Drosophila melanogaster: one gene and its partner. The protein of the gene in region 1 interacts with the protein of each later gene in a biochemical or structural test. Each region holds a gene or a part of one and is shown on either strand. Other genes may lie near its edges. The genes, in order: Wnk and fray.

Region 1 (5,069 bases):
AAGTGTCCGACTTGTTCTACCAGCAAGATCCCGCTCCTGCGAATTCCGCAGTGGTTCGCGGCAGTTACCAGGCAGGTCAGGATGTCTTCGTTGTCAAGTCCGACGGCAACAAAGCCGTTAAGCATGTGGTCTCTACTCCCATGGCGGTCCAGACCACCACTCAATCGCCGTCGAAGAGCCAGCACCTCGCCAAGACCCACAAGAGCTTTACCCCGGAGCCTCTGCGATTCGAGTTCACCGAGCAAGATGCCATAAGGGGATCGATGAAGTACACCCAAGCCCCGCAAGCCAATCAGTACTACTACGAAACCGTGGCCCAAGCTCCCCGCGAGCCCGCGAAATCTCCTGCCCCGAAGATTGAACTCAGCAAGCCCATTAAGGAATACACCGATGACCCAGAGGATAGTTCCGACACTGAAAGTGGAAAGCAGGTTGGTTCTGTTTCTCAATAAATGTGAAAACCGCAAGTAGCTTATATAAGCTAGCATATTTGTTGGCCAAAAAGTGGCCACAAAAACAAGCACTTCCAACCTTTAAGGCATTTTATAATGATTTTTACGCGATTTAGTGAGTACTTAATTTCGATCAAATCGTTTACGGGTTTAAAATAGTACTCTTCTTTGAAAAAATAAACTTAAAAAAATAGTTGATTCTATCAACTCAAGCTACAAAAATTATACGACTCATCAAATACCAGTAACAGTTTTTCCTAATAAGATCAAATTCTTTTTGCTGTGAATTTAGCTCTTACATTTTTAATTTTAAATTTGCCCATTTCAGCAAGATATTCCAAAGGTGCCCACTGTGACGAGTTCAGCTACTCCTGACGATCCAAAGGACACGGAAAACTACTGCGAGAAGATATGTGCTAATGTGTACGATGAAAACGATGAAATAATCTGTGGATCCGACGGATACATGTACACGGGCGAAACCCAACTGCAGTGCTATTCGTCATGCCTCAATATAAGTAAGAGTTTCATACCCAATATATGTATTGTCTGTATATATTTTAAACCAACATGTTCTATTCCAGGTGTGACGATTAAGAGTAAAGGATCTTGCTCTTAAACTAAAATAAAATAAAAAACTGTTTTAATTTAATTTATTCTAGCGATTACAAAATATGCAAATTTAGTGGAAATGGTAAAATGTAGGGTTTTGTAAAAAGTGATTTTGATTTGTTGTTCACGTATAAAAATATCGTGCACTTATAGCTTTCCTATTCATTAAAGTGATAACTTATAAACTATTAGTGCATGTATATTTAAGTTCTACAATATATTTGTATGTATCTCAAAAATCATTCAGAGAAGTTAGTTATAATAAATAAATTAACGAATTGCAAGAAAACATTATCGAAAATCATATTTATATATATAAAATAAGAGACTATCTGGGCTTTTTGCCTTAGGGGCAAAACAAAAGAGACAGGAGCATCTTCTTGCTGAATAAGGGAAACCTGTATAAGGGTTTGGAATTTATTAAGACTTTGTTAGGTGTGGTTTTTACAGCTGTAATCTGTTTGTAATCTGTTTCATTATGGCAGGCAAAATGAAATTTAAAAAAGTGGCTTAATGCTTAAAGGTTATACAGTATTCTTAACAATGTTATAACTCGTTCGAAGAGTAACGGTCTACTGTTCAAGTTAACAGAGGCCAGGTAACATCTCTGCTAATGCGTAACATATATATTAGGCAAGCTGGTAGCTTGGGTGGCATCACCGCCGATAACACTTGTGTAACAATATGCGCTATCGATAGATCACGAACACAAGTAAACCCAGTTGCTTTGTAAAATTTTTTGTGAAAGTAAAGGGAACTTCTGGCGAAATAACTTCAATTTTCCGCTGACTCTCGCACGCGTTCAATCCAATTGACCCCCCTTGTGGAGGTGACACTATCTCCCGAAAGACTTACCAATCCCCCGTGCCGTAATATGAAAGCTTGCTAGCTCGAATTGCCTTTGAACACCACAATCACAAATTGAAATCCTCGATGCGAACGATCCGACAGTCGCAGTGCGAGCCCTAGACCCCGTCCCGGTCGTAAATCCCCAACTCGAGCACGATCCCGTCGAGCGAAGGACTTCCGGAAGGAGCGGCGTGGAAACATGACATCATAGTCGCTGCATATGCTTCCTGTCCCGAATCAAATGTACATAAATATGTATGTATAGCCAGCGTACCGCACATACGCACATATCCCTCGCGACAGAACAGAACAGAGTAGAGTGGAACGGCAGAGCCAGTGACGAACGTAGTGCAATCGAAACTAGTGATTCATGGAAAGCGCACACCTCGGCCTCCTGGAGACGGCGCCACTACCTCCTCCACCCAGCTGTAAGCGATATTTCAGACGTCGGCACCAAGCAACGAACATAAGTGGGTGTGGGAATGGTCACCTTTCCCTGCTCCTGCCCCTGCCCATGTCTCTGCCCCAGTCCAAGCCAGTTCCTCCTGTCAATAGTGCCGGAATTTAACCTTTGCTCCATTCCTCCATGCCTTCATGTACTCATTCACCGCCTTGCCTCTCGCTTCAGATTAAACGTGGTGGTCTGCTGCTAAAAATCTTGCAAAATTGGACAAACCCTCTGCGACTTCGTACGACAACAAGAGGTCGTACCTGCGAACCGTGCTCGGAAGGGAAGCGCCATCAGCGAAGATGGTACTACCTCCTGCACCACGCAACCTCAAAGGTGAGTTGGAGTCATTGCCAAAACATTTAGGGAATATCTCTATTTATTTAAATATTGTTTTTATTTAAATCAGGGCACATAACAAAAAATGATTGAAGTAACAATCGTTGTTTCATATATGCCTAAATAACGTAAAAGCTGGTTTAAAATATCCTTGTATGTAGTGTGTTAAACTGACCAAGTATCCTACAAAGGATTTGTTTCCCTAGGATACTAATTTTTAAATATGCTTCAACTGGAATTGTTACTTCAACGTCTCTGTTTTAAGCAAAACTTACTAGATAAACAACACGTAAACTGAAACCGTTTTTTCGTTTATCGAATGTTTATAAAATGTTCTTGGAAGGAAGTTTACTGAGAACTGTGGAAAACTCGACTGTTGTACCTGTGAGTCTATAGAATCTAATCAACTACTTCTATCATTCTTTTAGGAATACCTCAATTTCTAGCGAGGAGCAAACTGTGCAGGGAGCTAATATACAAAAGTCGGGACACCGTTCGTTTAATAGATCTGCCTCCTCTAGGCAAAAGCCGAACCCGACATCAAAACTAAAAGACACACTAAACAGAAAGCCCACTTGCAAGCAGGGCACACTTTCTGCACACACGAGCACTAGCAGCACCACTTCAATCCAGTCATCACCTATCGAGCCAGCTTCTTCTCTACCCACGCTGAACACCACGCCTACACCACCAGCTGCCAGCAAAAGTAACCTATTTGTGCGGGTGCTAAGACGCTTTTCAAATAACACCCTTCCCGGCAAAACGGCGTCAAGCCCGAAAAACGTGGACGACGTACCGAAAGTCAACGATAACAACAACGGCGATTTAGGCAAACAGCAATCAACCGATGTAGAGGTGCTTTGCTCTCAGGACAACCAGAGCAGGGAACAGAATGAGGACGAAATGGATAGCAAAATAGAACCTGCAGATGCCATAAGCAACCAGAAAGCTGGTCTTACTTCGGGCAAACCTAAAAAAGACAAGTCAGTCAAGGGGACGTCGCAAGCGGTTGTTTCAGACACCAAGAAAATGGAGGCCAGAAAGTCCTCCTCGGACACGGTGATCGAGCCATTGATCAAGCAGCAGGCGCCACTGCACTCGTCAAAGACCACGCCAACGACTTTGACGGCGAACTTCGTGCAAAACATTCGATTCGTCCGTAAAAATGTGGAACAGTCAGGCAGGAACACCAATCCACTGCAGTTCGTTGAACTCGAGACAGAGTTTCCTCGTGACTATGACGACAACATCGAGATGCTTTCCCGCGAGGCGGAGCATCTGGAGGAGCAGTTCCGCACGCCTACGCGCTCCAATGCTACGGATGCCACTTCCCACCATGTGGCCGGAATCATCGACAACATTATAACCGAAGCGTCACGGAGTCTTACAATCGAAAAGACTGAAGACGATGTGCCATTGAAGTCTTCTACCAAGCACTCAAGCGGCGTAAAACGAGTTGGCTTTCAAGTAGAGGATAAGGACGATACCGAAGTTCAGAGCGAAAAGCAGGCAAAGAGCTTCGACGACATAACCAAAAAAGCGGAGAGCTCCGAGGCTAGCGCAGAGGAAGCTGCTGTCACCGGGTCCTCGACAGATGCATCTGCATCTCCCCTGCCCTCCACGTCGCTGGTCTCCACCACATCTTCAGCTACATCGATAACCAAGAGTAAGAGCGATGAGGACGATGATCCGGTGGCCATGTCGCCGTGCGGACGATTCTTTAAGTACGATAAGGAAGTCGGACGCGGTTCCTTTAAAACTGTCTATCGTGGCCTGGACACGTTGACTGGTGTTCCAGTTGCCTGGTGCGAGTTATTGGTAAGATAAAAAACTTCTTAAGTTTATTGTTGTGCCATTGGGCATATGTATAAGTATTATTATTATTAGTCAAAGCAAACATGATCACAAGCTTGCATAAGCAAGTTATCAGATAGATAATAATTATCATGAATTTTTGATTGAGTAATCTTTTTTATATAATGGATCATCACAATTAAAGTAATCATTAGGTAACATGAAAATGTACAATTTTATTTACCTATTTTACAGGACAAGCAAGTAAAAAAAAGTGAACGTACTAGATTTCGCGAGGAGGCAGACATGCTGAAGAAACTTCAGCACCCAAACATAGTGCGGTTTTATACATATTGGGAGTTTCCTATTGGCCGCAAGAAGAATATTGTACTAGTCACCGAACTAATGTTATCTGGAACTTTGAAATCGTAAGCGTAAACATGGATTTTAATGGGCGAATTGTAAACATAAACTCTTATTTCCTTATAGCTATTTGAAACGATTCAAAAAAATACACCCAAAGGTATTGAAGTCATGGTGTCGCCAGATACTAAAAGGCCTTAACTTCCTGCATA
Region 2 (5,072 bases), on another chromosome or scaffold:
ACTTTGAAATATGCATAAGCCAAACGACTGAAGGGTATTATGCTAGTGTGGAAAGCTGAAACTAGAAATATACAAAAATAAATTTATTGAGTAAATATCAACAACAGAAAAGAAGGGCGGTGGGGCGGGGGTGCTGGTTGAGAATGAGGAAGCAGAGAGGTAGAGAGCGCCAGTGAGAGCGGGTTAAGAGCCGCACAGTGGGCGTCATAGATGAAAACTATCTGTTATTAGCGATAAAAAATTGTTTCGATAAAAAAAAAAATTGAATAAAAACTGTAATTTCAAAATGCTAAATATGAACCTCAATTTTGTTTCTGGTAAAAATAAATTGGAATAATAGTTCAAAAATATAGAAACTACTTTTTTCTACATTCCATGTTATTTGCACGATGTTTAGGCGATGCTGACCCACTGGCAATTGCACAATTTGTAAGGTTTTTCTTTTGTTTGCCCCCACCAATTTTCCCTGCGCCTCGTGTACTCGGATTTTATCAGCTCTGACGCGCACGATAAGTTAAAAAGTTTCCAGCGGCAATAATAACAACAAGCGAGAACAATTAGCAACAATAAAGACCCAGAGTCCCAAAAAGTGGAGCATAGATACAGCAGACATATGTATGTGCTTTCCATACCGCACCCAGATACAAAAGTGGAATCCAGTATCTCACTCTCTCTCGCTTTTACTCTTTTTCCATTCCGTTATCTTGCTGGGCAAGATAACTGGGTTAACATACTGGAAAGGGGGTTAATTTGTGGGGGGAAGCCCGCACAGTCATCATGGAAAATTCATAAATTGCATCCACAACAGCCCATCCATAAAACCCAGGCGGACATCTAGATAGATACAAATGTATCTATAGGTTGATTATGGGATCGTCAGTTTGCATTTGGCCATAGCGCTAAATTCTGTTCTGCTCTGCATAAAAATGCGCCATGGTCGAAGAACGAAGACTGAAGACTTATAAAAATAAGATATTCGCGCGCGCACACACACAATACTGATACTGATTTTTGCGTGGTCTATTTATTTTTAGAACGTCTCCGTCTCGTTGGCTATTTGCATATAATTTCCAATGCAGTTCGGCCATGGCAAAGTGTCTCGCCGTGCGGAAAGAGGCAGGTTTTTGGGTGCGTATGAATCCAAATGGATCGGAAAATGGAAAGCAGCTCAAGAGAAAGATTCGAAATATACTCTATTCTAATCTTAAACAAAATTGTGTTCAAGAATTTGCAAAAGGTTTGGTTACCACATTCAAAGTTGTTTGGTAATACTTAGAGTGGCTCTGAGCATTGGTAAAGTATTTGGTAACTCTTTTATTTTTTAAATAAATTTAATGTAATACTGCGATTTTCAATTGAGTTTTCGTATAGCTTGTGTTACTTCTGTTAATGGTAGTAATTAACTATAAATTGTTTCATTCAAAACAATTAACGAAATTTTCCACACATATAATTATAATTTAGGTGTACTAAAGTTGGCAATTTAAGAATCAGCGTGATTCAGTTACCTAATCACCTCACAATCCAGCTAATGGATCCTCTCATTAGCTCAGGTAAATGAATACGCATAAATATCTCATTCGCTTAACACATTTTCCGTTTATTGCACTCTGTTGCGTTTTGCAAATATGCGACAGCCTTAATATAGAAGAATCAGATAAATTACAAAAATACACGTGAGTGTATTTATAAAACGTCTCGATGGAAATGAATTTAACGACATTTGTAATTTCAATATTGACACATTAACGAGTTGCTTGAACTTTGAATTGCAGTTGCAATATCGCTTCGCATTAATTGTTGACACAGTTCGCACTGCAATCGCGCGCAAGAATGAAATACAAATGACTAGATACTATATCTATACTATGTATGTATCCGTTAGTTGAGTAGATGAGTGCGCGGCTATGAGTACTGAGCCGTGCCAAGTGCCCAAAGTGACTGTTTGTTTAGATTAGATTTTTAATTTGGCCGATGCCAGCGACTTTTCAGCACGTCATGTGGAAGAAGAGTAATTGATTCCTGGTTTTTGCATTTAGTTGCTGTTCTGATTTGGGAATATAGTATTTGTACTGGCATTGATGAATTCATATAGCGCATACTCATTTCGATCTTTTCGTGTTTTGGTTCTCGCTGTTGGTTCCAAATGATCAACAAATTTAAGAACTTTTCACAGGATATACTATAATACTGCATATACTGACAAAATTTGGAAAATCCCCTGATCTATGTATTTTGTGAATCCTCAACTCTCTTTGCTCAGTAAGTGTTTTTGCTTTGGAAGCCAAATAAATCCTAATAAAGTCGTTTTTGCTGAGTAAATTATAAATTTCGTTGTGACATGTTTATAAGCTTTTTGTGGCAATTATTTTTTAATAATTATTTAATTATCCCGAACCCGACTGGATATAAATCACAAGCAGTATAACGGGGATTCCCCTGACCGAATTCAGTTTTGGCAATTTAAGTTGGTTTGCCAAATTCGCATTTAAAATTCACACTCCTATCTATCAAATAGGTATCATTTATTTAGCTATTTGCATAAGGATACGTGAATACACGCACATACAGTATTTTTGGATTATAAATGACAAATGTGGAAAATAACTTTCGGCGATAACATGAATTTCAAATTAGTTTGTGCTTGTGATTTGCTGAAAAGTTGAGTGTCGTAATCGTGATTTATATAGTTGGATTTTTCAAAAATTTCAACCCACTTTGCTTGAGGCACACTAAATTCAGCAACTGCATTTTGTCTGGTTGTCACTATTTTTTTTTCTCAAGTTCTGAAATGATTTTAGTTCTGGCTGTAAATTGCTTTTAAGCCAAGATCTTTAGCCACAGATGTAGATTCGATCACACGCGACACTCGAGAATGACTGAGTTGAGTTATCAACGGAACTGCGATTGGGATTCGATCCGATTGCAGTTCGCCAAATCGCATTGCTCGCGATCGCTGAATGGGCCGCTCCTCCAGCGCGAAAATCACAAATTCGACTGAACTTCACAAATCGTTGTAATCAAACATTTAAAATGAACTGTTTTTTCCACCCCCTCCCCTTTCCATCCATTGCTTTCGTTTCGTTTAGCAATAAACAACAATAAAATTAAATGAGCTCTACAAATGGCGGAACACGACGACAGGCGATACTATATACTATAGTAAAAACGCCGTTGCCGATCGACGAAATAAACGTACGAAATGTGCGAAATTTTGCCGCCTCCATCAACGCGCGTTGGCGTTAGTTAGTAGTAGTTAGTATCCGCCTCTGTATCCCCATCGGTGTCTTTGTATCTCTATCTGTATCTGTAACACCAGGTGTATCTATGTATCTACGTATGTCGGTTGACGTAAGCTCGGATTTGCCGGGCTTTATGGCCAAAGCCCAGCTGATAACTAACATGCATGAGTGATTGCCTTGGCTTCCACTTAAAATTTAAATACCTTCGGCAGGGGATTTTCGGGAATTTGCATAGGCAATTGTTCCTAGTTCCGTTCTAGCGGGTTCTACAAATTTCGTTTGATACGAAATAGAAAAACAACATATCACCAACTTTTATAATTAACAGGAAGTCCTTGTGTCGCGAATTGTGAGTAAAAGTTGCTTTTTACAAGTAAGTACTAGGATATTCATAGATCTATAAATGTAGATTCTTCATATCTTGGAGATACAACGTATCTCTTTCTATCCTCAAGAGGACTGTCTTTGGTAAGACCTCTCTTTTCTTATAGACGTCTTTCAACCATGTTTACCCTGGTTTTTAGCAGCACTGTACCCAGGTAATTCTTCTTCATCGACAAAGACATGCGCAAGTTTGATGTTATTATTATTTTAGCAATTTGCATACGGCTTATGGGATGTGTATTTTTAAATTCTTGTTTATAGTCAAAGTGTGCTGCCTTATTTTCCTACTTTTTGCTTTAATCTTATTTTTAACAAGGGAATTTGTTGTATCCAAGCCAACAGAGCTTGTGTATCGAAATGTGTGAAATCTGTCAGGCTGTGCAAAATCGTAAATATATCTATAATTGTACGCTGGGTTACTTTTTATGCGCACCGGCGATTCGAGTCAAGTGATCGAACGCCCTCAAAAAGTTTTGACACTCGAAGAGCGCAAAAAAAAAAGAAGCCGAAAAAACCAGCGATTTAATTAGCGCCCAATGCCATTCGACACGTGTGTGGGTGGGCCAAAGGTTGAACCCCATATTCCTGAGCCCCAAATATTTCGCTTTCTACATACATATGTAGATATACTACTCACAATACTAATACTAGGCGTTGGTCATAAACTCTGTGAAATTTTTCACTTGCGTGACGTCGGTGACATCAAAATGAGGAAAACTCATTAATGACCACGAGCTGGGGGCCAGCTATGATGAATGAACCGAAACGAACCTATTTAGTATACTAAAAACTACAGTGGATATACTTTTGTATATTTGTATACAACCAGCTATAGAAAAATATTATTAAAATGCATATTTTCTTTATAGTCTTGTACTAGTAAAATGTTTTCTAAGCAATCGAGATACATTTAATGAACAAACTTGCTTTAAAAAGTCTAATACTATAAAATCCCATGAAAGATATATTTTTAAAAGTATATTGCAGATCGACGCGTTGTTCGTGAAACTCTATACATTTGTATAAACAAATGCGCATAGTATATTTCTTAAAAAAAATTCAAAATATGTGCCATGTGCCATCGCCCATCAGCGAAATCAATGCTCACATGCTCGGTTCAATTTGCTGGTCAACATCTCATGTGATTTCTGCTCAGTCGGTCGATTTCTCAAGGCAAGGACGTTTGGGACTTTTGCACTCGCAAGTCATTTTTTCGCAAGAAATTAAAAATAAAAAAACAGCAGTAAATAAATCAATATTCTTGTACGCAAAACATTTTGTCGAGCTCGAGGGTATTTCAGTTCATTGAGTTCAAAAAGCTGCGCAAATGCAGGAAGTTAATGTATTCGGAAGTCATATGACAAACATAATTGTCGCGCATTATTATTCAAAACTAAAACTAAATGAGCCGCGTTAATTGCTCTTTTGTTTTATTGCCAGAGACAG

Evidence for each region.
Region 2: of the proteins of Wnk (region 1) and fray, one has a biochemical effect on the other in vitro, tested with the Drosophila melanogaster proteins (2 studies listed by BioGRID).

Annotation. Positions count from the first base shown.
Region 1 is NT_037436.4:21,551,653-21,556,721, reverse strand, and holds the start of Wnk (Wnk kinase), read left to right. Parts: upstream 1-1,793; 5' UTR 1,794-2,168; exon of another isoform or gene 2,169-2,341; intron 2,342-2,541; 5' UTR 2,542-2,578; coding exon of another isoform or gene 2,579-2,697; intron 2,698-3,128; coding exon of another isoform or gene 3,129-3,603; coding exon 3,604-4,518; intron 4,519-4,749; coding exon 4,750-4,922; intron 4,923-4,983; coding exon 4,984-5,069. Other genes in the region: CG7173 (uncharacterized protein), read left to right, coding at 1-431, 781-970, 1,037-1,071. UniProt on the Drosophila melanogaster protein: Serine/threonine-protein kinase component of the WNK-SPAK/OSR1 kinase cascade, which plays an important role in the regulation of electrolyte homeostasis and regulatory volume increase in response to hyperosmotic stress.
Region 2 is NT_033777.3:18,579,150-18,584,221, reverse strand, and holds the start of fray (frayed), read right to left. Parts: upstream 3,007-5,072; 5' UTR 2,752-3,006; coding exon 2,718-2,751; intron 1,944-2,717; exon of another isoform or gene 1,868-1,943; intron 1,639-1,867; exon of another isoform or gene 1,517-1,638; intron 1-1,516.